Linked DNA regions of Cricetulus griseus. The protein of the gene in region 3 binds, or shares a complex with, the protein of the main gene of each other region. Links are inferred from orthologs where the notes say so. Each region holds a gene or a part of one and is shown on either strand. Other genes may lie near its edges. The genes, in order: Dhx16, Cwc15, Srrm1, Eftud2, Rbm48, Crnkl1 and Snip1.

The links.
Region 1: Srrm1 (region 3) and Dhx16 share a complex: the UniProt entries of both Homo sapiens proteins name them as parts of the minor spliceosome. The link is inferred for Cricetulus griseus from reciprocal best matches to the Homo sapiens genes SRRM1 and DHX16.
Region 2: Srrm1 (region 3) and Cwc15 share a complex: the UniProt entries of both Homo sapiens proteins name them as parts of the minor spliceosome. The link is inferred for Cricetulus griseus from reciprocal best matches to the Homo sapiens genes SRRM1 and CWC15.
Region 4: Srrm1 (region 3) and Eftud2 share a complex: the UniProt entries of both Homo sapiens proteins name them as parts of the minor spliceosome. The link is inferred for Cricetulus griseus from reciprocal best matches to the Homo sapiens genes SRRM1 and EFTUD2.
Region 5: Srrm1 (region 3) and Rbm48 share a complex: the UniProt entries of both Homo sapiens proteins name them as parts of the minor spliceosome. The link is inferred for Cricetulus griseus from reciprocal best matches to the Homo sapiens genes SRRM1 and RBM48.
Region 6: Srrm1 (region 3) and Crnkl1 share a complex: the UniProt entries of both Homo sapiens proteins name them as parts of the minor spliceosome. The link is inferred for Cricetulus griseus from reciprocal best matches to the Homo sapiens genes SRRM1 and CRNKL1.
Region 7: Srrm1 (region 3) and Snip1 share a complex: the UniProt entries of both Homo sapiens proteins name them as parts of the minor spliceosome. The link is inferred for Cricetulus griseus from reciprocal best matches to the Homo sapiens genes SRRM1 and SNIP1.

Annotation. Positions count from the first base shown.
Region 1 is NW_023276806.1:229,796,489-229,798,881, forward strand, and holds the end of Dhx16 (pre-mRNA-splicing factor ATP-dependent RNA helicase DHX16), read left to right. Parts: intron 1-21; coding exon 22-195; intron 196-1,676; coding exon 1,677-1,805; 3' UTR 1,806-1,893; downstream 1,894-2,393. Other genes in the region: C1H6orf136 (uncharacterized protein C6orf136 homolog), read right to left, coding at 2,115-2,228, 2,313-2,382. UniProt on the Homo sapiens protein: Required for pre-mRNA splicing as a component of the spliceosome. Contributes to pre-mRNA splicing after spliceosome formation and prior to the first transesterification reaction.
Region 2 is NC_048597.1:127,975,011-127,979,121, reverse strand, and holds the start of Cwc15 (spliceosome-associated protein CWC15 homolog), read right to left. Parts: upstream 2,801-4,111; 5' UTR 2,661-2,800; exon of another isoform or gene 2,529-2,660; intron 1,207-2,528; 5' UTR 1,199-1,206; coding exon 1,068-1,198; intron 533-1,067; coding exon 420-532; intron 1-419. UniProt on the Homo sapiens protein: Involved in pre-mRNA splicing as component of the spliceosome. Component of the PRP19-CDC5L complex that forms an integral part of the spliceosome and is required for activating pre-mRNA splicing.
Region 3 is NC_048595.1:17,919,366-17,923,531, reverse strand, and holds the start of Srrm1 (serine/arginine repetitive matrix protein 1), read right to left. Parts: upstream 2,801-4,166; 5' UTR 2,648-2,800; coding exon 2,627-2,647; intron 1-2,626. UniProt on the Homo sapiens protein: Part of pre- and post-splicing multiprotein mRNP complexes. As a component of the minor spliceosome, involved in the splicing of U12-type introns in pre-mRNAs. Involved in numerous pre-mRNA processing events.
Region 4 is NC_048600.1:115,243,214-115,246,713, forward strand, and holds part of Eftud2 (116 kDa U5 small nuclear ribonucleoprotein component), read left to right. Parts: intron 1-603; 5' UTR 604-607; coding exon 608-712; intron 713-3,500. UniProt on the Homo sapiens protein: Required for pre-mRNA splicing as component of the spliceosome, including pre-catalytic, catalytic and post-catalytic spliceosomal complexes. Component of the U5 snRNP and the U4/U6-U5 tri-snRNP complex, a building block of the spliceosome.
Region 5 is NW_023276806.1:221,965,166-221,969,202, reverse strand, and holds the start of Rbm48 (RNA-binding protein 48), read left to right. Parts: upstream 1-1,237; 5' UTR 1,238-1,284; coding exon 1,285-1,395; intron 1,396-2,302; coding exon 2,303-2,493; intron 2,494-4,037. Other genes in the region: Pex1 (peroxisome biogenesis factor 1), read right to left, coding at 827-955. UniProt on the Homo sapiens protein: As a component of the minor spliceosome, involved in the splicing of U12-type introns in pre-mRNAs.
Region 6 is NC_048599.1:33,095,571-33,098,346, forward strand, and holds the end of Crnkl1 (crooked neck-like protein 1), read left to right. Parts: intron 1-116; coding exon 117-218; intron 219-565; coding exon 566-814; intron 815-1,915; coding exon 1,916-2,092; 3' UTR 2,093-2,276; downstream 2,277-2,776. UniProt on the Homo sapiens protein: Involved in pre-mRNA splicing process. As a component of the minor spliceosome, involved in the splicing of U12-type introns in pre-mRNAs.
Region 7 is NC_048595.1:27,987,065-27,991,174, reverse strand, and holds the start of Snip1 (smad nuclear-interacting protein 1), read left to right. Parts: upstream 1-1,310; 5' UTR 1,311-1,382; coding exon 1,383-1,594; intron 1,595-2,513; coding exon 2,514-2,616; intron 2,617-4,110. UniProt on the Homo sapiens protein: Required for pre-mRNA splicing as component of the spliceosome. As a component of the minor spliceosome, involved in the splicing of U12-type introns in pre-mRNAs. Down-regulates NF-kappa-B signaling by competing with RELA for CREBBP/EP300 binding.

The DNA.
Region 1 (2,393 bases), on a different chromosome or scaffold from region 3:
ATTTTCTTGCCTGCATCTTAGGCCATCACTTCGGGTTATTTTTACCACACCGCGAGGCTGACTCGGAGTGGCTACCGCACAGTGAAGCAGCAGCAGACAGTGTTTATTCATCCCAACTCCTCTCTCTTTGAACAACAGCCACGCTGGTTGCTTTACCATGAGCTTGTCTTGACCACAAAGGAGTTCATGAGACAGGTAAGGGATTGTTGCTTGCTTAGATGGGTGGAGACTGGGGAGACAGTATGCTGGCATCTTAAACTCAATTTGTATTTCTGGGACTGTCACCGAAACAAAAAGGTCTATTAGTTTAACATAGGGTCACATGTCATCAGACTTAATGTATGCTTGGGATGTAGCTCGTGGTACACATAAATTAAAAAAAAAATAATAAATCAGGGCTGGAGAGATGGCTCAGAGGTTAAGAGCACTGACTGCTCTTCCAGAGGTCCTGAGTTCAATTCCCGGCAACCACATGGTGGCTCACAACCATCTATAATGAGATCTGGTGCCCTCTTCTGGTGTGCAGGCATACATGGGGGCAGAATGTTATATACATGATAAATAAATCTTAAAAAAAAAATTCCTTTCCTGCAACTGTTAGTGCCTTCCGAGATCTGAGAATTGTAACTCATTCAATAGATAATTGAAGCTGTGCCTGATGGCACAGGTCTGTAGTCCCTGGTGCTCAAGGTGAGGCAGGACGACAACACGTTGAAGATCTGCCTAGGTAACAGTGGGGCTGGAGAGTTGGCTCAGTGGTCTAGAGCACTCACTGTTCTTGCAGGGGACCTGGGTTCAGTTCCCAGCACCCACACAGCAAGCAGCTCACAATACACTCCAGATTGGGGGAATCATTGATCACATCACCCTCTTCTAGCCTCTGCAGGCACTGTACTTGAGTGTGCGTGCTCGAGTGTACACACACACACACACACACACAGTAATAAACAGAGCTGGAAAGATGGCTCACTGACTGCTCTTCCAGAAGACCTAAGTGCAATTTCCTGGTACCCTCCTGTTGGCTAACAGCTGCCTCTTAACTCCAGGGGATCTGACACCCTCTTCTGGCCTTCTTTTTTTTTTTTTTTTTTTTTTTTTTTGGTTTTTCGAGACAGGGTTTCTCTGTGGCATTGGAGGCTGTCCTGGAACTAGCTCTTGTAGACCAGGCTGGTCTCCAACTCACAGAGATCCATCTGCCTCTGCCTCCCGAGTGCTGGAATTAAAGGCGTGGGCCACCAACGCCCGGCTTCTTCTGGCCTTCTTGGGCATCAGGTATGCATGTAATATACAAACATATGTGTAGGCAAAGCACCCATACACATAAAACGTTTTATAAATGTGGAAAAAGTAGAGGTCGTGCTGAGACCTCGGTGAGTCTTCTGTAGCGAGCGAGAGCCTCGCTTGGTTCATATCCAGCATCAATAAAGTGTGTGCCACGTGCTGGGGCCACAGAGGCAAACGAAGCAGATGAAGTCTGCCCTGAGGAACAGAACAGGCTCTTCTCGGGGCTCACCTACCTGATGTCTTGAGCAGGTCAGGGTGTGTCTGCCCGGCCAGCATGAAACATAGCCAGGTGCCTTCTTGCCCTCAAAGGGGAAGGGAAGCCTTTCCTAACCACACAGTGAAAACCCTGGCTTGGAAGTGAAGGAGCCCTACTGACCTCTGTCCTCTTACAGGTCCTGGAGATTGAGAGCAGCTGGCTCTTGGAAGTGGCCCCCCACTACTATAAGGCCAAGGAACTAGAAGATCCCCATGCTAAGAAAATGCCCAAAAAAGTAGGCAAGACACGAGAAGAGCTGGGCTAGTGGATGACAAACGGACTGGACCACACAGCTTCCTTTTCCTTCCATACTTTATTTAATATTTAGTAAATAAAATTATTTTTGGAATTAAGTGTGTGGCAACTTTGAGGCCCTGAAAAAGTGACATGAAACTCTACCTCATCGTTGCTTAAACTTTATTATTTACAAATTAAATTACACAGCAGCTTTACACAGCATGAGATGGGAAAGAGAGAGCATGGAGGGAGGTGGCTGGCCCTCGACATTCTTGTCCACCTTCACCTCCTCTTGTGCGTAGCAAAGTCTTCAGTGATGCCTTGACCCAAGTCTGGGTCAGGCCTTGGAACACGTGTGTAAGTTGGGCTCTGGTTCTGACAGCCCCAGGGCCACCAGGGCTCCCACTAGCAGCTTTTTGACAGGCGTTGACGGCGAGTGTGAGGGTGTCAGCTGCAGAGACAGGTTAATGGAGGCTGGGGAGGAACACAGACATGCTCTGCCCTTCACCCTACCCCACCCAGTCCCGACACTCACCTTGTCTAGGTGATGGCGACAAATGAGGCCACTGGAATTCAGGTAGAAGGTGGAATAGGCATCAAAGGTCCTGGAGAAGGG
Region 2 (4,111 bases), on a different chromosome or scaffold from region 3:
TGGCAAATAAGCCTTTGATAAATATATGGTAGTAAATATTAAATGAATTAATGAGTTATGAGGATGGCAGCATCTCAGGAAACTTAGCCAATGTTCATACATACTAGAAACACAAGAAGGGTTACTGACGCATCTCAACTACATGGAGGAATGAATAAAATGGGGCAGCTCTGGATAGAAGGCCTGGGTTCCAGCTGCTGTAAAGCCAAAGTCTAACGACAGGTACTGAAATGATGGCTTTGAAACACCATTTCTTCTAATACCAAAGCATGAGAAGATGGAACTGGAATGAACGTCATTATTATCTCTAATCATTTATCAAAGAGGTATAGTACACAAAAACATCATCTCCAATGACCAACACACAAACAATCTCCACCAAATAACTTTGAGACAGACACTAAGAACAGTGTAGGTACCTCGGGTTGGACGGTCCCTATTTTTTTCCCTTGCAGCAGCTCTCTCTCTCTCTTCCAACTCTCTCCTAAAGTCACGGTTACGAACCTCTTCAGGGGCATCCTGTGTAGTTTGTCTTAAGAAGAAAGAAACTGGGTTAAAAATGTTACTCTCACTTGTCAAGGAAAAGAACCTATAAGGCTACAGTAATTTAAGACAATTTAGGATACAACTATCTCTGACCAATAAAATGAAAGAGGACACGATAATAAGGGACACCTGCGATGTTTTCAGTATTACTATTAGAACAAACTAAAGCACACACTCTCCTCCAACATGAAATGTCTGAATGAAATGTCTTTGTTTTTTTAAACTATTAATCAACTCAAGGGCTGTCACAGTAACGCTTCCATATTCACTACAGTTCAGTCTTCTCTGAGGTACTTATCATGAATGAGTGCTTCATCTACACACAGGAATTTCTGGTTGATAGGAATGTCTACTGAAAGAACGTCCAGTAACACTTAAAAACCACAGAGTATAATTTATTGTAAACCCCTTTGAATTCCATTTCTTTGAAGATAGGTAACAAATACAACAATCTAGACACAGTCATAAGTCATGCAGGTTTGGTCCCATTCTGTGAACAAGACAAACCAAGGCCTTATTACCTGTATTTTATCTTTGTATGAGAGGGGAGGTCTCTGCTTGAATACTGCTTTGAAAGCTGGCTCAAATCCCCTTCTCCTTTTCCTCGTCCACCTCTTGCAGGTTCAAAAGTTGGCCTGGCTGCTGTTGTCATCTTTTATTCTTTGACAAAAGTGAGATTAAGTTATATTCGGTAGAACTCTCATCTTAGAAATCATTCATAAATATCTATCCTTATGACTAATTCCCAAAACTCTCCCACAAATTGCTTAAGTAGTTTGTTTTAACACAAATTTCTACAAGTTCAGAATTATGAAACTCAAGTTGCACATGAGATATGTCCTGCCAGGCAGCTCTTAATTAAAAAAAAACAAACAAATAAGCAACAACAACAACAAAAAACCCAAAACTTATTTGAAGATCTGAGTTTGTGCTTTTGTTCTAGCTAAGTAGACTTGGGCAAGTCTCTTAGCTTGTTTTTGTCATCTCTGGAATGCTGATATTTCTGTAGTGTTATTATGACAATTCTGACAAATGATGGCAGATCTCATACAATAGTGTAATGTGGCTTTTAAAAAAAATAACTGTTTTAAAAATTCTTATCTTACTAGCACTAGGTTCTCTTGAATTTGTTTGTTTGTTTTGTTTTGATAGGGTCTTAATATGTAGCTCTGGCTGACCTGGAACCCTCCAGGGATCTACCCAACTCTGCCTCTGGAAAGTTGGAATTAAAGGTGTGGACCACCACGCCTAGCCAAGATCTGCATTTCTATGAGAAACCTCACACAACAGTAAATAAACCGAAAGGAAAAAAAAAATACGCAAACAAAACACCAAGTTTCTTCTAAAGTCACGGATCACTCTCAAACTTTAGTGTCTCAGAGTGAGTTTGTTTAAAACCCAATGACATTCACGCGGGCCACACTACCCAAAACCCAGTTGATGCAATTCTCTTCTCCAACAGTTACCCTAACACGTAGAAAACCTTTGGTACGATGCAACTTTAGCAGTGCTCAGAAAACCGAAACCCCACCCCGAGAAATATCAAGAGCCCATCCCGAACTGGGGTGTACTTCTGGGACCACCCCAGGCGCTCGGAAGGTGAAAGCGGGAGAAGCACGAGTTCGAAGCTAGCCTGGGGCTACACGAGACTGTCGCTACAGCAACAAGAGAACCTTGTGCCACTTTCAACTTGGAGCTGTCACATCAGAATTCCGGCGGACCGACTGGGCTGCTAGGCCTCCGTTAGCGTGAGCAGCGCGCTCAGACAGACCCGGAGGGAAGGAGCTTCGTCCCCATCCCGCCCTGCTGCTCCTCGGTGTCAGCGGCCGGCGCCGCGCCGGTGCCCGCCCGGGGCTCGGCCGAAGCTCCCGACCGCCATGCCGGGCCTGGGGCCCCGGCCGTCCTCCCGGCAGCGATCCCGGCCCCCCGGCGCCACCCTCGCAGGGACCACAAAGCCCCATGCACCCCTGCCGCTCGCTCACTCCGGCGGGGTCCCACGCAGCGCCTTGGGAGGCTCACCCACGAACCATCGCAGCTCCCAGCTCCCAGAAAGCTCCGCGCCGGGGCAGCCAGCCCAAGACCGGAAACAAACCGCTTGGCGTCTAGCTCCTCACCTGGGGGGCTCAGTTAAGACCCGGAAGCAAAAATCTTGGCACTTCCAACGGCCGCGTCGGAAGCTTAAGCTCCACACCCGGAAGCAAACCTGAGGGTTTTTTGTAACCGTTTCTCAGAGGCTGGTGCGCCGACCAATCCGCAGAGACCCTGGAGGAAGTTGGCGTGACGTCGTCGAGGGGCGGAGCCAGGGCGGCCCAGGGGGCGGGTGTTTGAAACCGGTGCTTGGGAGTCGAACCTAAATATCTGTGTTTTTTTGAGAGCCAATTACTTAATCTGTCTTGCGTCTTTTCCTTCCCCGACCCCCTCCCAGACTCCTCCGCTGCGGTGCTGCGAGGACCGAAGGCGCCGGGGAGTCGGCCCCGCGTCGGGCAAGCGTGAGATCTGAGGAGAGCGCGCCCGCTGGCCCAACGGCTCCCGCTCCTCAGTAGACCCCGCAGCCTAGGGACTAGAGTTGTCACTTAAGTGGATGTGAAGAAGGCGCACATAAGTACGGGGGCAGCCACGAGCTTTCCAAAGGTACCATTCCTGCGAAACCACTATCCTCGGAGGCAGGGGTCGTAGTCGCATTGCTTGTTAAGATATAGATACATAGAGATAATATGCATTAAGCCGCGTAGTGTGAGGGGAGAGGCCGTAAGCGTTAACGACAGCCAGCGTTTAGAGAACAGTGGGCTTAACTGCCAGGAGGAGCATGAGCTGCAATTAAGATGGCTTCCTCATCGTTGTCTTGGTGGTGCCCTATCCTTGAGATCTTGGGAGACGATAGATGCTCAGTACGTTCTCCAGTTTGTCCCAAGTGGAAGGACCGCCTAAAATCGAACATTTCGGTGCCTTCCTTTGGAACTTTTTAAATGAAGAAGGAAAATTAGAACAGATTCTTCCCCCCCTCTTCCTCCTTCCCCGTCCCCCCTCTCCCCCCCAAGTGGAAGGTAAAACATTTCTTTTTCTCATGGAAGCTATATACCTCCCTCAACCTCACACAACCTAAGAACACCATCAGATTAGCGGCTCAAGCCCAAGGTCCACCTCTGTCACTCTTCACATCCCGTTCACTTGCCAATCTTGTCCAGTATTGTGAGAATTACCCTGAAGTTCATTTCCCTGTCACCACATTCATTCAGGCTGCTGTCATTTTCCTCTTGTATTTGTAAATTGCTTCCAAATGGACTTTCCTGAGGTTTTGCACAGAATGACGGAGTTAGGGTACTTAGGATAAAACAGCCACTTGTCTTAACTTGATTCTGAGGATTCTTTATAGTCTGTCTCATGCCCACCTTCCTGGCTTCAGTCAGTCATGGGTACACCATGCTCTAGATGCACTCAACAGGACGTCTCTGTTTCTCAGAGCAAGGCAGGGTTCCCTGTTTATTTTGAGTTTTGAGACAAGGTCTTGCTATGTAGCCCAGGCTGGCTTTGAACTGCAAGTTCTATGTATCCTGACTGACCATCC
Region 3 (4,166 bases):
CCAGGACAGCCAGAACCACAGAGAAACCTGTTCTCAAAAACCAAAACAAAATCCCTATTAAAGTACCTAGAAAGTGATCCAGAAAGGCTATAGCTGAATGGTTTAACACTTGGCTAACACATACAAAGCCCTGGGCATGGTCCCTAGTACTGCAAAAACAAAAAAGTTTTAAAGAAAAAAATGTTTTGGGCTAGGCTGGGCAGTGGTGGTGCACACTTTTAATCCCAGCACTCAGGAGGCAGAGGCAGGCAGATCTTTGTGAGTTCCAGGCCAGCCTGGTCTACAAGAGCTAGTTCCAAGACAGCTTCCAAAGCCAGAGAAACCCTGTCTCAAAAAACCAAAAACCAAAAAAAAAGAAGGAAAAAAAAAAAAAAGAAAAAAAGGAGTGGTGGCCTACAACTTTAATCTCAAGGTTGACTCAGGAAACTGGTGATTTCTAAGAGTTCAAAGCCAGCCTGGTCTGCATACCAAGATCCTGTTAACTAGCAGGGCAGTGGTGGCTCATGCCTTTAATCCCAGTGCTTGGAAGGTAGAGGCAAGTGAATCTGTCTTGAAAAGGGAAAAAAATACTGTCAACAGCCTCCTTAAAAATATAATAGAAATTTACCTTACATGGCTGTTGTATATATGGGAAATGATTCACATCAAGTGCCCAACACAAGGGCACTTCAGTAAATTCAGGATACCATTTCTACCTTAAACCAAATTTCAGTCAGATTCTGGTTGGCAGTGTACTAGATAATTGATCTAAAATCTTAGCTCAAGGCTTAAATGCAGTCTACAACTCCATTAAGCCAGGTGTGAGGCAATGTCTGGAATTCTAGCACAAGGAAGGGCTCTGGCTGGGTTCAAGACCAGTCACAGTTAGTGAGAACCCAGTTTCAAAACAGCTGCTCCAGCAACCAACCCAGTGACAACAAAACCATCCAACCCTGGGACAAGACTACTTGGTTTAAGTAAATGTAAAGAGTAAACTTTTAAAAACTGGATTCTTTTCCGGATTCTGTCCAATTTCAAAGGAAAACTTCGTCTAAAATAGACTCCTCAGAACATTTTGCATTCTTCATTCATTCAAACTACTTCCCACTAGAAATAACTGAGAAGCCGAGCAGTGGTGGGGCATGCCTTTAATCCTAGCACTGGGGAGACAACTCAAGGCCTATTATAGAGTTCCAGGAACAGAAAAGCCAAACACCGAGAGAGAGAGAGAGAGAGAGAGAGAGAGAGAGAGAGAGAGAGAGAGAGAGAGAGAGAGAGAGAGAGAGAACTAATAGACAAGTGAAATTGCTTTTAAGTGTAACTTCTGTGCCGTAAGAACTTGAGTATTCACTATAAAATACAAGCTCGCTTGAAATTACCACACTCCAAGTATGTAACTCTCTTAGTGCTTGTATGATCTAAGAAACAAGTGGCTAAGCGCTTTAGGTTAAACACTTGGAATAATATTGTGAATACGTAGTTTGCAGTGCCAAGAGATTCAGAGTGCTGGAGAGGGAACCCAGAATCTTGCTCATGTTAGACATACGTACCCAGCCATAAGAGGCTTCCTTATTAAATTAACCCTTTCCCTCTAATTTTTCCTTTAATAACTAACACAAACTGCAAATTACATGCTCGATCCAGGGAATGCAAAATTAAGCCGTATTACAGTTAGCAGGCATTTAAACTTTTACCAAGCAGTGTCTATACGGTTTTTCTCTGCGTTTAAAAGAATGAGCAAACCCTAACGGGATCGTTGCTACTCAACTTTTAATCCTACAAGTGTCCGTTCCCATCCACCTGGATATAGACCTGCAGCAAATTTCCTTCACGGGTGGGTGGCTCCCACCTAATAAACTGCCTTAGCCTGGGGTGGACCAACTCTAACAAGGAAACGTCCCCTGCCTGGACCTACGATAGAACCACAGGACCCCAAACATCGGCGGCTGGGAAAAGGTGCGGGCGGGCGGGCGGGCGGAGAGCGGGAAGAGCAATGGGTTCCCGCTGTCATCTGCTTCCACCCTCGCGCACACACTTCGCCCTAAAAGCCTCCGATTCAAATGTTCCAACTACAGATTATCTGAGTCCCCCCTCCCGAAGAGCTATCAAATTGGGCGGGAGCGCTCTCGAACTCTGACCCTGCTCCTCCGCAAAGGCTCAAGACCCGGAGGGTGGACGCTTAGACGTCCGCTTAAAAGCCCCTCTCCTCCAGAAGCTCTCTCGGACGTACCCCCAAACCGTACTACCGGTGCCCCGCGGCCGCGTCGGGCTTCCCACCGGCCTCCCCCCAGGGACTTCCTCCTCGGGGCTGCACTAGGCCCCAAGCCCCGGAGGCCGGCGCGGCGCCCGGCCTGCAGGCCCCGCCAGGCGGCCGGTGAGGTTCTGCCCCGGCCCATTCCCGCCGCCATTTTCCGGCCCCGGCCGCCGCCGCGTCGGGGGGGGGGGGACGATCCCGAAGGAGGAGACTGCGCAGGGGCGCACCGGTGTCGGCCGCAGCGCCCAGGGCACGGTACGCCGGCCCCCAGCCCCCTCGGGGTCTCTAAAACCTCCCTCCACGGGCCGCCGCGCCCCGGGTTTGAGCCCCCTGCCGGGTCTCACGGACAAGGCTCTCGCCTCCCCCGCTCCAGATCCCCGCGCTCCTACTTACGCGGAAGAATCCCGCGTCCATCTTGCTGCCTCGCTCGGAGATCGCTCCCTATCCCAGCGTGCACCGCGCCGCCGCGACGGAGGGCGGGACCGGCAGAAGGGAGCCCAGCGCCGGGATGCTGCGCGCGCCTCTGCACCCTCCCGCGGGCCTGCCGCTGCGCCTGCTCAGTCTTCCGAGGGAACGCCACGCATGTGCCAGGCTCTCCCGGGCCTCCGCCTTTTGCAAAGAGGGGAGGAGATCCCGGCGGCCGCAACCAATGGAAATAGGAGGGCGAGTCCTCGAGTCGCCCCACCCTACGAATCCTTTTGTGGCGCGTGATCAGCCTTGTTCGCGCGACGCGAGTTGGTCCCTTCCGGGACCCGTAGCGGGGGAAGGCCTCGGCCCTGGGGTGGCTGGGGGACGTCATGGTGGAGAAAGGTTGCCCAGGGGTGACGCTGGTGCGGCGTTAGAAGCTCGCTGCCTTGTCATTGTGAAAGTCGGGGAGATGTGTGGAGGCTTTGGGTGGCCGGCGGCTTTGACCCGGGAGCGTCAGTGTCAGCGCGAGTGGAAGCCGCGTGCCAGCCGGATCTGCGTCGCGTCTGGCGTGCGCTCGAGGTGTCCATTGGATACGTTTCTGAAACCGTGCTGAAGGGCAGGAAGTGGACGAGGGGCAGGGCCTCCAGAATGTCCACCAAGCGCTCTCTCCCTTCCCCAGGAAAGCCTTATCATAGGACACCTTGTAGCAGTCCCTCTTTCACAGACACGCTCATCTCCCCTGCTTTCTCTTGGGGAAAAAAAAAAAAAGTCTGGCAGTGGGTCTGTCTGTGAACACCCGCACGTCCCCAGGCACTTTTCCTAGGCTTCAAACTTAACACCGACGCCCTTACCCTTCCCGCTTGGACGGCCATAGACCAGACAGACTGGGCTTATCCAGGCCATCAAAACCAGCAAATCGAGCAAAACAGCGGGGAGGTCAAGCGGCCGCCCCCGAGTCCCCTCTATCTCTGTAGGTGCCAATAGCTTTCCTCTTGCTTAGGACCGACCTTGCTGCTGAGACCACTTTTCTGCACTTCGCGCCTCTAAGCCATCAGGAAACCCACGTGCCACTATGATGGAGGCCCAAGATCCCTTTATCTGATTCCAACCCCGGCATTAGCCCTGTAACAGATAGATCCCTACGACCTTTCCACCCAGCATCCATTCCGAAGAGTGGCACTGTTGGAAACGTAGGCATTCTTGCTGAGAAGTCTCCAGTGGTTCCTTACATATTTCCCCCCCAAAAGTCAAAATCTCCCTCTCTTTGATCTCTTGTGCCCCAGCCTGACTCACTGTACTTCCTACGTTAGTTCCTGCTGTCCAAGGCCTCCGACAAGAACAGGCAACCACAAAGCGGCTTGGCAATCTTCAAATTTCACTTAACTGTTCCTCAGGGAGCTGCCCCCCACACCCTCCACATCCCGATACCCTTTAGTCATCCTTCTACCCCCAGCTCTTATCACCTGATACTTGTTTAGATGTTTTGTTTTGTTTTGTTTTTAAACCTGGCCCCTTTTTTGTTTCT
Region 4 (3,500 bases), on a different chromosome or scaffold from region 3:
CCTGCATGCCTTTAAAATTAAAAAGAAAGCCAGGTGGGAATGGAGAGATGGTTCAGTGGTTAAGAGTACTGGCTGCCCTTTCAAAGGACCCAGGTTCGATTCTCCCTATCCACATGTTAGCTTACACCCAGTCTATAATTTCAGTTTCAAGGGAGGTGACATCCTCTCCTGGTTTACGTGGGCTTCATGTCTAGGAATGTGGTATAAAGACATGCATGCAGGCAAAACACCTACACACAGAAAATAAAAAATTTTAAATAAATAAAACAAAGCTAGGCATGGGGCATAAGTTTGTTATCGAAGCACTTTGGAGGCTAAGGCAGTAGGATCAGGAGTTCAAGACCAATGTGGGCTATAGAGTTTGAGGCCAGTTTGGGCAACAAAAGGCCTTGTCCCTAAGTAAATAAAGTGATGAGGGTGGGGTGTGTGAATATTTAAAATGAGTAGGGCAGCAAAGTGGAGAAAGTACTGGACTCTGGGGAGATTGTTCACTAGATGGGTTAGTCCCAAGGCAGCTCCTGAAGGGATGGTGTGTGAGGAGACAGGGTGTGATGCAGGCTTGCAGGACTTACAGATCCTGACTCGACTCTTCTTGAATTTTAGCATCATGGATACTGACTTGTATGATGAATTTGGGAATTATATTGGACCAGAGCTCGATTCTGATGAAGATGATGATGAACTGGGAAGAGAGACAAAAGATCTTGATGAGGTAAAACAAACATGGTGTTTTACTTTTTTTTTCACCCCTTTTTTTGGGGTGGGGGGTCATTGAGGCATATTTCTCTGTGTAACAGCCCTGGCTGTCCCGGAACTCCCTCTATAGACGAGGCTGGTCTTAAACTCATAGAGGCACCTGCCTGTGCCTCCCACAGACCAGCTAAACATTGTTTTCTTTATCCCTCTCCTTTTTAAAACAATTCTCCTGTAATAACCTGCATGTATTTCTAATGTTGCCTTTTTTGTAACATGATTTTTATTGGTATTTTATATTGGCCCCTAGAAGTTCAGAGGGAATATCAAAGCATTTCATTCATGAGGTGGTTTTAGAGTCTGAGCTCTAGTATTTGCTCTGTAATAGCGCTTCTGGTTCCCTGTAGTGTCTCCTGACAATCACAAGCAATCCCGCTTGAGGAACGGGAAGCCAGCTGTGTCAGTGCATCTGCACTTGCAACTCTCTGTGAGCTCCGACTTTAAAAGAGGCACACGAAAAATATAGTGGTGGCACACACCTTTAATCCCAGCACTCAGGAGGCAGAGGCAGGCAGATCTCTGTGAGTTCAAGGCCAGCCTGGTCTCCAGAGTGAGTTCTAGGACAGCCAGAGCTGCACAGAGAAACTGACTTGGAAATAGGGGGAGGGAGCATACAAAAGGAGGGTGTAGATTCCTATTCCAGTTTAAGAGAGGAGTTAAAAGTCCAGAAGAGTTTGAGGCTTGCAAAGGTACTTTATTATAAAGTCAGGAATGTTATGTAATCCCAACACATGGAAATGGAGGCAGTTAATAAGGAGTTCAAAGTCAGCCTCAGTTTCACAATGAGTTTGAGGCAAGCCCAGGCTTCGTTGAGATCCTGTCTCCAAAAAATAGCCCTAAAGAATTAGTAAAAAGTTTTGTGTTTGGTTTTTTGAGACAGGGTTTCTCTGTGTGGCGATGGAGCCTATCCTGGCACTCGCTTTGGAGACCTGGCTGGCCTCGATCTCACAGAGATCCGCCTGCCTCTGCCTCCCAAGTGCTGGGATTAAGGCGTGTGCCACCAACGCCTGGCTTTTTTTTTTTTTTTTTTTGGGGGGGGGTACTGTTTTAGAGTACTGTTTTATGTTTCTTGACAAATACCTGTCAAGCACCGACTAAAGGAGGAAGGACTTACGGCTCATGATTTCAGGACTTCAGTGGCTCATAGTAGAGCACACATGACAGCAGTTGGTTCTTCACATCTCAGGACACTAGGAGGAGAGAGAGGACAGAAACCAGAGCCAGACTGTAAGCCCCAAGGCTCCATCTTCCTAATGTTTCACAAGCCTAAAACAGCACCACCAACTGGGGACTAGGTGTTCAAACACCAGCAAGACAGAGACATTTTGCATCCAAATGGCAACAGGCACCCAAAGTGGCTCTAATGTTTTAGCATTATTCTGAACATGATGAGTAAAACATAGATTTAAAGAAAGTAGGGTCTTTTGGGGAAGAATGATTTCAGTGGGAATGAGAAGGGGATGGGTGAGAAGAACTAACTCCATTATGCAGATGTATAAAACTGTCAAACAGTGAAGACAGATGCAGTGGATTGATTAGTCTATTAACAAGGAGATAAGATATTCTCGGGATAGCAGAAGATGGGAACAAAGTTCTGGTTGCCATCAGCTTCTGTAAAGGACAATGTTTCTCAAGCTAGAAAAAATATTCACTAGAGAAAAGGAAGTTGAAGCTGCTTGCAGGTGTGGGGAAATGAGGGTGGCTTGCATCTTCAGTGTGTTCAAGTCTGCAGGTCCAGGTGAATTGCACCCTGGGGGTGTTAGGAAATGTTGACGAGGTAAGCTGAGAGCCGCTGGGAACATACTTCAGAGGTAGACGAACCCTGGATTCAGTCGCTAGCACTGCCAAGATGAAGGGTGGAGAGGAGAGACCATGGAAGAAAAAAATGAACTAAGCAATTCATCTTAAAATGAATTAGAGCCAGGTGTGATAATACACACCTTTATTCCTAGTAACTGAGAGACGGAGGCAGGTGGATCTCTGTGAGTTCAAGGCCAGCCTGGACTACATACTGAGTTCTAGGACAGCCAGAGCTACACAGAGAGACCCTGTCTCTAAAAACTAAGCAAAAGATGGAGGGAGAATCTTAAGCTTGGTAAGTGTAATATGTATCCATGTAGAAGTAGCGAAGGGATGTTTGTGAGGCCCGGGTTGAGGCAGTGTCTCACAGTGCAATCCCAGCCAGCCTCCAATTCTGGACAGTTTTCGAGGCTCACAAGTTTAAGCTACAGGAAAGTAATTTTAGGGGTTGGATTTTTTTGTTGTTGTTATTTTGTTTTGTTTTTGTTTTTTCGAGACAGGGTTTCTCTGTTTAGCTTAGTAGACCAGGCTGGCCTCGAATTCACAGAGATCTGCCTGCCTCTGCCTCCCATGTGCTGGGATAGAAGGCTTGTGCTTGGCTGCTCTTGCAGAGGACTGAAGTTTGAATCTCAGCACCCACATGACAGCTCACAAACCATCTGTAACTCTAGTTCTAGGGGATCCAGTACCCTTTTACTGGCCTCTGGCACCAGATGTGCACACGGTACACAGACATACATGCAGGCAAAGCACCCAAACACATTTATTTATTCATTTATTTGGTTTTTTTGTTTTGTTTTGTTTTGTTTTTCGAGTCAGGGTTTCTCTGTGTAGTCTTGAAAACCAAAAAAAAAAAAAAAAAAAAAAAAAAATTTTGTCTATTTAGTTTTTGAGGCCTAGTTTCTCTGTGTAGTTTTGGCTGACCTGGAACTCACTGTGTAGTCCAG
Region 5 (4,037 bases), on a different chromosome or scaffold from region 3:
AAAAAAAGAAAGTCTATTTGGTAAGATAAACTAACAATAAAACTGATTCTGATGAAATTGATGTGTTTTGATAGGTGGATTTTAACAGCAAGATAGAAGCAGCTCAAGAGGAAAGAAAGTTGAACTACTTGAAGTCATTTCAAACTCTTGGATACCTCTTTGATGAACCAGTAGTCTGGCAGCATGCCAGATTTTAGAAGATTTCAAATATTCTAATTTTCGATTCCCCCCCCCCCCATGAGAACCTATTTGCCTCTCACTCTTGGTTAAGAAAATCCGCGTGCTGTATTTCCACCTTGGAACACCATAATGACGGCATCCGGACAGTGACAGTTCGCTGAGGTTCCAGTAATCCTGTTACCCCTGTGTAAAGGTGTGAGGTGTGAATAATTCCATCGCCTGCTCCTCCCCTCCCCGCACACCCCTGCGTAGTTCTCTCCTAAGCCGGGAGAGCTGCCGTCCTATTAACCTTCTTGGGCACGAACTGGAAACCTCCGTAATCTACACAGCGGCTGGAAGGAGGCCTCTGTGGCAGGACGACGCTTTCCGAAAGCCCGTGGGTCGGAGACCTCTAGAGCTCTGCAGCCGAGAGCGAGGCTGCTTCGCAAAGAATCCCAGACTTTTCAGTCTGCTTTACCCGAGCTGCGGCGGAGGGCTGGGAGGGAAGCCCGGGGCCGGGGCCGGGGCCGCCCGAGCCGCGCAGGGGGTGGGTGCAGCGCCGCGGGGGGGGGGGGGGCGCTCACACGCTCCGCGCCGTCGGGGACGGACCAGGCCCGGCCCGGGCGGACCCCGGCGGCGCCCGGCCCCCACCCGGACAGCGCGTTACCTGCAGCAGGTGCAGCTGGGCCACGAGGCGCCGCGGCAGGCGGAGGAAGCAGTCCCGAGCGTTCGTGAAGGCCACCGTCACGACCGCCCCGCCCGAGCCCGCAGCCGCCGAGCGATCGCCGCTCCACATCGTCCCGGCCCCGCTCCCCCGAGCCCGCCCGCTTCCCGCGCAGGTCGCGGCGTCCGCCGGAGCCCGGGGCTGGCGCTCGATCGGCCGCTCGATCGGCCCCGCCCCCTCGTCGCCGGCCCCGCCGGCGTCACCCTCCCGTCGCTCCTCCGAGACGCGAGGGGGCGGCACACGGAGGACCGAGTTCGCGCTCCCAGGAAACGATCGTCGATGGCGTCGATTGCCCGGCCAATCCAAGCACGCGCCAGCCACCCTGCCCTCTCATTGGCCACGGAGGAGGAGGAGCGCGTCCGGCGGATGTTGTTGTGGCGCTGGGGGTCGCCGCTGGCAGCATGGCGTCCAGTGACGGGAAGCCGGGGAGCGTTTTCGATCACCACGTGCAGACGGCCGTGTGTGACTCGCGGGCCAGGTACCGGGAGGGCCGACGCCCTCGCGCCGTCAAGGTAGGGCGGCTGCGGTTTCCTCGCGTTCCCAGGCCCCCGGGCGGGGGCGGCCTTGGTGAGGAGGGCCTGACGGGGACGCCGCCACAGAGGGGTCTCTCCCCGCGGGAGGCCCCGGGACCGACCGGAGGTCAGCGCTGCGCTCCTCGCCGCTCCGCGCCGTCGAGCTGACAGGAGCGCTTCCTCAGCGCGCGCACTGGCGCCCGCTGACTGGGGTAGCCAGGCGCCCTCAGGGGGCCTGTGTTAGCCGTTAGCCGGGAGCGACAGTTCTGCGTGTGTGTTTACAGGCGGAATTGACCAGAGTATTTCTTCTTGCTTTCAAAGCTCCTTTTTTTCTTCTTCTTCTTCTTCTTCTTTTCTTCTTCTTTTTTTCTTCTTCTTCTTCTTCTTTTCTTCTTCTTCTTCTTCTTCTTGCTTTCAAAGCTCCTTTTTTTCTTCTTCTTCTTCTTCTTTTCTTCTTCTTTTTTTCTTCTTCTTCTTTTCTTCTTCTTCTTCTTCTTCTTCTTCTTCTTCTTCTTCTTCTTCTTCTTCTTCTTCTTCTTCTTCTTCTTCTTCTTCTTCTTCTTCTTCTTCTTCTTCTTCTTCTTCTTCTTCTTCTTCTTCTTCTTCTTCTTCTTCTTCTTCTTCTTCTTCTTCCTTCTTCTTCTTCTTCTTCTTCTTCTTCTTCTTCTTCTTTCTTTCTTCTTCTTCTTCTTCTTCTTCTTCTTCTTCTTCCTTCTTCTTCCTTCTTCTTCCTTCTTCTTCTTCTTCTTCTTCCTTCTTCTTCTTCCTCCTCCTCCTCCTCCTCCTCCTCCTCCTCCTCCTCCTCCTCCTCCTCCTCCTCCTCCCAGAGCGACAGATTTGCCATAGGCTTGCTTGTCTGCGAGGTACATTTATTGATTGAGGGTTTTTTGTTGTTGTTGTTTTTTAGGTATACACAATCAATTTGGAATCCCAGTACTTATTAATACAGGGAGTCCCTGCAGTGGGAGCCATGAAGGAATTAGTCGAGCGATTTGCTCTATACGGTGCGATTGAACAGTATAACGCTCTAGATGAATACCCAGCAGAAGATTTTACAGAAGTTTATCTCATCAAGTTTGTGAAATTACAAAGTGCAAGGTGTGTACAAATTAAGCAGTAGCTATACCCTGTGTTCCTGTTGCTGTCATTTCGGCCCTGGGGTTTTCCCAGACATATCCATGTCACACAAACACTCATCACCCTAGATCTTCCCGTTTGTTTGTTTGTTTGTTTTTGTTTGTTTTAGAGGGTCGTGACAGGGTCTCTGCATAGCTCTGGCTGCCCTGGAGCTCACTCTGTGGAACCAGGCGGGCCTCAAGCTGAGAGAGCCTGCTTCTGCATCTCCAATGCTGGGATTAAAGGTGTTTATCACCACCAGAGGTCCTGAGTTCAATTCCCAGCAACCACATGGAGGTTCACAACCACCTTGAATGAGATCTGGTTCCCTCTGCTGGCATGCAGGCACATGACTGTATACATAATAAATAAATAAAATCTTTAAAATTTTTTTTAAAAGGCTGACTTTACAAATACAAAGCTGTTTCCATCGTCTCATATCTGTGCTTCACAGTTTTTGAACCAGTAGTACGGTAGATTCAGAATTACATTTGAAGCAAATTTCCAGCCCTATGTCCTCATTACTTGGTAGTGTTTTAAATCCTGATAAGCACATTTTTCTTCTTCTTAAAATCCACACAGCAAAAAGGTCTGCTTCTTGAGGTTCCCTGACTGTGGATGAAATGAAATAATTTATGTACTCCCTATTAGGAGTAAATATTAGCAATGGCAGTTCTTATTGTTAAAGTTCTATGCTAATCACCTTCTTTTTAATACTTACATATGACATAATTCTTGTATTCCAATAAGGTGAAGTCAACAATGCTTTATTTTGGGGGGAAGGAGTGTGAGTGTGTGTGTGTGGGGGGGGCTAGAGGTCAATGTTGATTGCCTTCTTCAGTGTTCCAACTTTTATTTATTTATTTATTTGAGACAAGTTTTAATGTGTAGTCCTGGCTAGCCTAGAACTAGCTAGGTAGACCAGGCTAAACTTAAAACTTAAAATTTAAATTTCCTTCTGACTCTACTAGGTTTAAAGGCATGTGCCACCACACTGCGCTCTGTTTTATTCATTTATTTATTTGAGACAGGATCTCTCACTGAATTTGGAGCTCATCAGCTAGACTGGTTGACTGTCAAGTACCAGTGATCCTTGTACCTCGCCCTTGCCAGCACCAGGATTGTAGGCATACAGCAGTGCCCAGCTTTTATGTGGATGCCAGGGATTCCAACCTAGGCACTGAGCTTATGCAAGTGCTTTTGTGACTGAGCACTCTCCCTAGTTCATGTCAGCCATTTTTTTTTCTTTTTAATTAGTAACCTGATTTAAAGTGTATCTTTGTCTGACTTTTGCTATTGATGTAACTTCATAGTAGAAAACGGCTTCAGATTCCCTGGAGCTGGAGTACAGGGGGTTGTGAGCCACCCAAGGTAGGTGATGGGATTTGAATCTGCTCTTCTGCAAGATCAGCAAGTGCTCTTATCACCAAACCATCTCTCCAGCCCCTCATATTTCTTTTATATGCTACTTAGCCCACCACTAAAGCATTTGACTTCAAAGGGCTGTGTGCCTTTCTCTCCAGTTG
Region 6 (2,776 bases), on a different chromosome or scaffold from region 3:
CACATGAATCTTAATTGTTGAATGAAGTCATAGGGTCTTGGGTGTAGGTCAGGATGGCTGAACTATAGGGGCACATGGCTTTCTTAGTGCTAAGACTGACCTATCATTTTTCTTAGGTACTTTGGAAATCATATATTGATTTTGAGATTGAGCAGGAAGAAACTGAAAGAACACGAAATCTTTACCGACAATTGCTTCAGCGAACACAGCATGTCAAGGTACCCTAACTTTGTCAACAGTCTTTCATTTTATTTTATACAGCAGTTTTGGTGCTTTTAGACTGACTGACTATTTTAAATGACTTTCTTGCTCTTAGGATCTGTTCTTAAAGGACTTAAGAATTTTAAGCTTATACCAGGTCATTGTTTATGCTGCACATGTGCACATGAATCTCTTGGAAATCACATTCAAGGTTCAGTGTATGGTCAGATATGTGCAATGTATTAGTCTGCAATGCTATCAGTGATACATCATCACGTTATCAACTGGAGAAAGTAGCTTTAAAGCCATCATATTACTGTCTTCTGGCCCACATGGGTAATTTGGTTCTGTTAATTTTTTAAAGGTATGGATCAGTTTTGCTCAGTTTGAGTTATCCTCAGGGAAAGAAGGAAGTGTGGCTAAATGCAGACAGATTTATGAAGAGGCAAATAAAACGATGAGAAACTGTGAAGAAAAAGAAGAGAGACTTATGTTGCTGGAATCCTGGCGAGGTTTTGAAGATGAATTTGGAACCGTATCAGACAAGGAAAGAGTAGACAAACTCATGCCAGAAAAGGTCAAGAAGAGAAGAAAGGTCCAGGCCGACGATGGGGTAAGGGCTAAGCACTAGAGCTTGTTCATATCTTGTCAAAGGAGTAGAAATGCATCTGACTTTGAAATGTGTGCTTTGAAGTAGTGGACTGCCTGAATAAGGACCACTTGTAGTCTGGCTACTAGGAACACAGCAGGGATGGAAAATAGAGCAGGAAGGGGTGTGTGTGTGGCAAAGACAGTGAGGGTGGAGTCTGGGAATGTGATATTTGTAGAGTGGGAAGTAGGAAGTCAGCATGGGGGGAGGACTACTGGGGGGGGCACCAATCCTGAGAAGACATTTTAGGGTTGCACAAGTTTGGTGGGAACCACTGAAGATGCCTGTATATGACTAGATTACTGGCAATTCATACAGGTAGACTTGAGTGACATATAGATGATCTATTGGACAGTTTTCCTAAGTCTAGCAACTGAGAGGTGGATGTGTGGGAGATGAGAGGAGAGCGTGCATTTCAGGATAGTATTTAGAAGTAAAATCCATGATCAGTTGAAAGTGAAAAGATGAGAGCTAGGAGTCCAAATAATACACAGCTATATGGGTGGCCTCTGCTACTGAATATTGGGTAAAATTCAAATTTTAAGATTAATATTTAAAGAGTGTTTTGCCTACACATGTATGTGTGTACCATGTGCATGCCTTGCGCCCTTGGAGGTCAGAGGGCAGCATTGGATTCCCTGGAACTGGAATTATAGATGGTTGTGAGCTACCATGTGGGTGCTGGGAACCTAATCTGGGTCCTCTACAAGAGCAACACATGGTCTTAACAGCTGAGCCATCTCTCCAGCCCATAAAACTCAAAATTTTAAAGTCTTAAACATGACTGTGGGGTGGAGTTGAGGTGCTGAGTGTCTTGATTGCCTCAGGAGAAGCTGTGCTTAGAGGTTTAATTTCCTTCACTTGGTCCTTCATTTTCAGTGAGCAGCTGTTTAGTCACTCACTTGGGCCCAGGCTTTCGTTCCTCCTACAGCAGGATTTGCTATTGTTTTGTATAGTAAACATGGGTGAATTTGAAGTCTAGGTTTCCCCTTCACTCTCCCTTCTGAATGAAGCATGTTCCAGAGATGTGCACTCCCCTTTTAACTGGTGGATTTAATTTTGCAGTCCGATGCTGGGTGGGAAGAATACTATGATTACATCTTTCCTGAGGATGCTGCCAACCAGCCTAACCTCAAACTTCTGGCAATGGCCAAGCTTTGGAAGAAACAGCAACAAGAAAAAGAAGCTGCCGAACAGGATCCAGATAAGGACATTGATGAGAGTGAATCCTCATCTTTTTAAATGTTGTAATATTTTTATGGATTAATAGTTTAGAACTTTGACTTCTGAATGTTTTTGTATATTTACCCAGGAAGGAGTTGTTTGGCATTTTTTGGTAGCTACCTTTGAATTATTTTTGAAAACACCCTTGGGTTTAAATGTGGATGAGAAATTGCAAGTAAAGAAAATTTTTTAAGTTTTGTTACTTGAGTCCTAACTTTCCTAGTACTTGCCCATATTGTCTATTACATGAAATTAATGTGCTCAGCACCTATTTTAGGTAGAACTGCAGACATTTGAGGGGAGGGAGTCGAGGCAGGGCTTATCTGTGTAGCCCTGGTGGCTATCCTGGAACTCACTCTGTAGATCAGGCTGGCCTGAACTCTAGAGATCCATCTGCCTCCCAAGTACAGGGATTAAAGGTGTGCACCAAGTGCAGGCAACTTGACTCTTACGTGTTCATGATCCATTCTGCAGGAAAAAGGTCTCTCTGATGGTGTTTGTGCCTCTAAACCTGTCACTGTCTTCTGTCATGTTGATACCACACAACCTGAGTCCAGTCCTAACATTGCTGTGTCTTTGTTTTCTGTTGCCTTAAACATGGGGTAGGATCATGACACCTCATTTTGATCCCATTAGAAAAGGAATGTGCTGATACCAGTCTTGTTCCGACCCCTTTTCATTTTTAGCATTATGTGTATACTT
Region 7 (4,110 bases), about 10 Mb from region 3:
GGCCACGTGCAAGTTTTTTCTACTGAACTAGCTCCACACGCTCCAGGCTTTTTGGTAAACAAGATTGGAGACTTTGCGCTAGATCTAATAAGGGATGTGATGAGATGGGCAAACCACCTTTGCTCAGCCTTAAAACGCAAGTCATCTCCTGACTCCTTAGTTTGTTTAGCAACGATTGGCACTTAGAAGGCAGAGGCTGGTGGATCTGTGTGAGTTCCAGGACAGCCAAGATTACATAGACACTGTCTCAAGAAACAAAAAAGAATTTCCTATTGTTGAGTATTTGTCTGTGTTTTGTAACTATCAACAATCCGCCACGAACAGGTTTGGATTAACTTTCCAATTTTCTTTCTTTTATTTTAAAGATTTATTTATTTATTATGTATACAGTGTTCTGTCTGCATGCATCCCTGCAGGCCAGAAGAGGGCACCAGATCTCATCACAGATGGTTGTGAGCCACCATGTGGTTGCTGGAAATTGAACTCAGGACCCCAGGAAGAGCCATCTCTCCAGCCCAGACCCCAAGATTATTTATTTATTTATTTATTTATTTATTTATTTATTTATTATTTATTTAGGTTTTTCGAGACAGGGTTTCTCTGTGTAGCTTTGGAGCCTATCCTGGCACTGGCTCTGTAGACCAGGTTGGCCTCGAACTCACAGAGATCCGCCTGCCTCTGCCTCCCGAGTGCGCCACCAACGCCTGGCAAGATTTGTCTTTTTTAAGAGCCAGGCGAACACCTTTAATTCCAGGGCTTGGGAGGCAGAGGCAGGCGGATCTCGAGTTCGAGACCAGCCTGGTCTACAGAGTAAATTCTAGGACAGCCAACGTTACATATAGAAACCCTGTCTCGAGAAGCAAAAAAAAAAAAAAAAGGATTTTTTTCTTTTGGTGATTTGTGAGGTCTTAGGGACTGCCCCCAGCCCTTTGCACACGCGAGGCAAACGCTCACTTTACTGTTAAGATACATTCTCCAGGCTTTCCGCCCTTTTAACTTAATTTCTATTTGGCGGTGCTGCGGATGGAATCCAGGGCTTCGGGCTCGGCTAGGCAATCTCTACCTGACCGACTCACTAAATTGCCCAGGCTGGCCTCGAATTTACAGCGATTCTTCTGCCTCCGCCTCCCGAGGTCTGGCCTTGACTTTCCAGTCCTCCAGCCTCACTTCCCCAGGAGCCGGGATCCCGGGGTCACAAGCCCGGGCGTCCCCAGCGTAGGAACCTTAGCATCTGCGGCCACGCCCACCTAGGGGACCCCCCGCCGTGAGGGCTTCTGGGATAGCGCGCTGCCCGGAAGCGGAAGTACAAAGGTCGGGCCGTCACTTCCTTCGGCTCGAGTGGCTCAACGGACCGTGCAAGTGGCTCTCGGCCGGGCCGCAGGATGAAGGCCGGGAAGAGCGAGCGGGAGCGAAGCGGCCGGCGGCGACACCGGGCCGACGACGCACTGGCGACCGTGGTGGTGAAGCAGGAGCGTCTGAGCCCCGAACCTATCGCGCACCGGCGGCCCGACGCCCCAGCCGCTAGCCCGTCCCCGCCCGCCGCCGAGCCGGGCCGCGCTAGCCACCGTGGGAGTCGAGCCCGGGGAGTGAGCCGGTGAGAGGGCCGCGGCCGGGATGGCGCGGGGCCCGGGCGGTGCGAGCGACTCGGGGTGTAGAGCACCTGTTGAGTTGAAATGAGATTCCCCCCGCCTCCCACGGGGGACGGTGGGAATGTCTTTCCACTTGCCTGCCGCCAAAGTGTTGTTTCACGTTGGGTCCTGGCGACTTCTTCGCAGCACTCATTCGCCGATGCCCCCCGTACGGCATCGATTTACTGAGTGCACAGTGTGGGCTAACGATCAATTGAGGTACTGGGCCACAGGGTGAAGAAGAGAGATGGTTTGGCCCCGGCGAAATTGGGCGTGCTCCAACCCTAAAGAAGGAAAATAACAAATAGATTCAATTAGTGCTGAGGATATAGTCAAACAGTAACGTGGCCGGGCCGTGGTGGCGCACGCCTTTAACCCCGGCACTAGCGCTGGGTCAGGACAGAGAAAAATGTATGCGAAGAACCTGAAGTGGAATTGGGCTTGTTTTAAAAGTTGAAGCAAAACAGGCAGTGTGTCTGGAATTGAGCGATGAAGGAGCAGCATTGTAGGAATGAGGTGGGGTGGAGGAAAGGGTGGGTCCCTGGGACTTGCCAAGGGATTGGATGTGGTTGTTGGAGAAGGGAGTGTGTTAGGAAAAACAAAAAACAAAACAAAACCAAAAACCAGGCAAGATTGACTCCCTGGATAGTGATGCCAATCAGTAGGATGACAGACTGGGAAAAGAGCTTTGGGGTTCAAGTATTAGGGTATCTAAGTGAGCAGGCAGTTGTGTATGTGAGCCTGGGAGAAGTGGCTAGGGAAGTGAGGACCTGACTCCATTAGTGATTTCACAAATGTGTTATGTTTAGTAGCCTGATACTTGAAGCTAATTTATTTGGGGGCAGGGACATTGAGGTAAAATCCTGTGTACCATGCTCTGATAAGGTCCCCAGCCAAAAAGAAAAACAAGTCCTCAGGGAGAAGAAGCAAGTCTCCTCGGACTAAGAGAAGCCGGAGCCCCCACTACTCCACCGTCAAAGTGAAGCAGGTGAGTGAGTGGGCAGGAGCCTTTGCTAGGACCCACGTTCAAATCCAGAGCTGTTGCTGGACCTAAAGGTGGCCTGCACCGGCGTGTCTCCGTCTTTCCTTGTCCTGGCTGTGGGCTTTTCTAAAGACTAGATATATGTTTGTGTTGTTTTATGTGAAACTTCAAATTTGGAGGAAGTTATTGATTTAATTCTGATAACTCTTTGCCAGAAATAGTGCAGAGAGATGTACCTTTCCTTGTTTCTCCCAATGGCAACTTGTCACACAACCGTGGGCAGTATCACAGTCAGGATACAGACATCTCACTGCCAGTGGGAGGCCTCCAGCTGTTCTCTAGAGCCCTGTTCCTTTCCACCTTTATCTTTATCTTTATTTTTGTCTATCATTCCGCCAATCCCATGCTGTCTCAAGTACCACACTAAGTGATAAGTCTTGAAACCTGAGTGCCCCAATCCCTTTTACTTTAGTATTTTCAAAATTGTCTTAGCTGTTCTAGTTCCTTTGTCTGCATCTCTGTAAATGTTAGAACAGTCTTGAATGTGTGTGATTAAAAATAAAGTTTTTTTTTGGTGCATCTCCCCCCCCCCCATGTGTATGTGTTTTGCCTGCCTGCATGTATGTGTGTGCACTGTGTATATGTCTGATACCCACAGATCCCAGAAGAGGGTAGCAGATTCCCTAGAACTTGAGTTAAGGATCGCTGTCAGATACCACATGGGTGCTGAGTTATCTTCCAGATTTTCTAGTGTCTTGCTCCAAGCCAGTGTGGCGGTGTGTACATGTATCCCTACACTGAGGCAGGGGGATCACAAGTTCAAGGCTGGTTTATAAGTTTAGTGAGAGACACTGTCTCAAAAAGTAAAAAGGGAGGCCGGGCGTTGGTGGCGCACGCCTTTAATCCCAGCACTCGGGAGGCAGAGGCAGGCGGATCTCTGTGAGTTCGAGGCCAGCTTGGTCTCTAGAGCGAGTGCCAGGACAGGCTCCAAAGCTACACAGAGAAACCCTGTCTCGAAAAGGCTGGGGCTAAAGTTTAGAAGTAGAGCGCTTGCCTAGCCTGTTTCCTGAATTCTAGTCCCATTACCATTCCATATGTATTTATAGTAAATGGACTATTATTATTACTCAGCCTTAAAATGAAGAAAATTCTGATGAGTTACAAGATGTCTGAACCATGATGGCTTGCTTACTAAACGGGGGGGGGGGGGGCGGGGGGGGCGGAGCGCAGCAGGCGCGGCGGCGACAGGACACAAAAATTGCATGATCCCACATCTTTGTAGTTGAGACAGTTGACCTCCTGTCAGTTAGGTCCAGATTGGCTTGAAACTTGCTTAGTAGGTATTATAGGCAGGCCTAGAACTCTTTGGTTTTTTTGAGACAGGCTTTCTCTGTGTAGCTCTAACTGTCCTGGATCTTGTTCTGTAGACCAGGCTGGCCTTGAACTCAAAAGAGATTCACCTGCCTCTGCCTCCCAAGTGCTGGGATTAAAGCCAAGAGC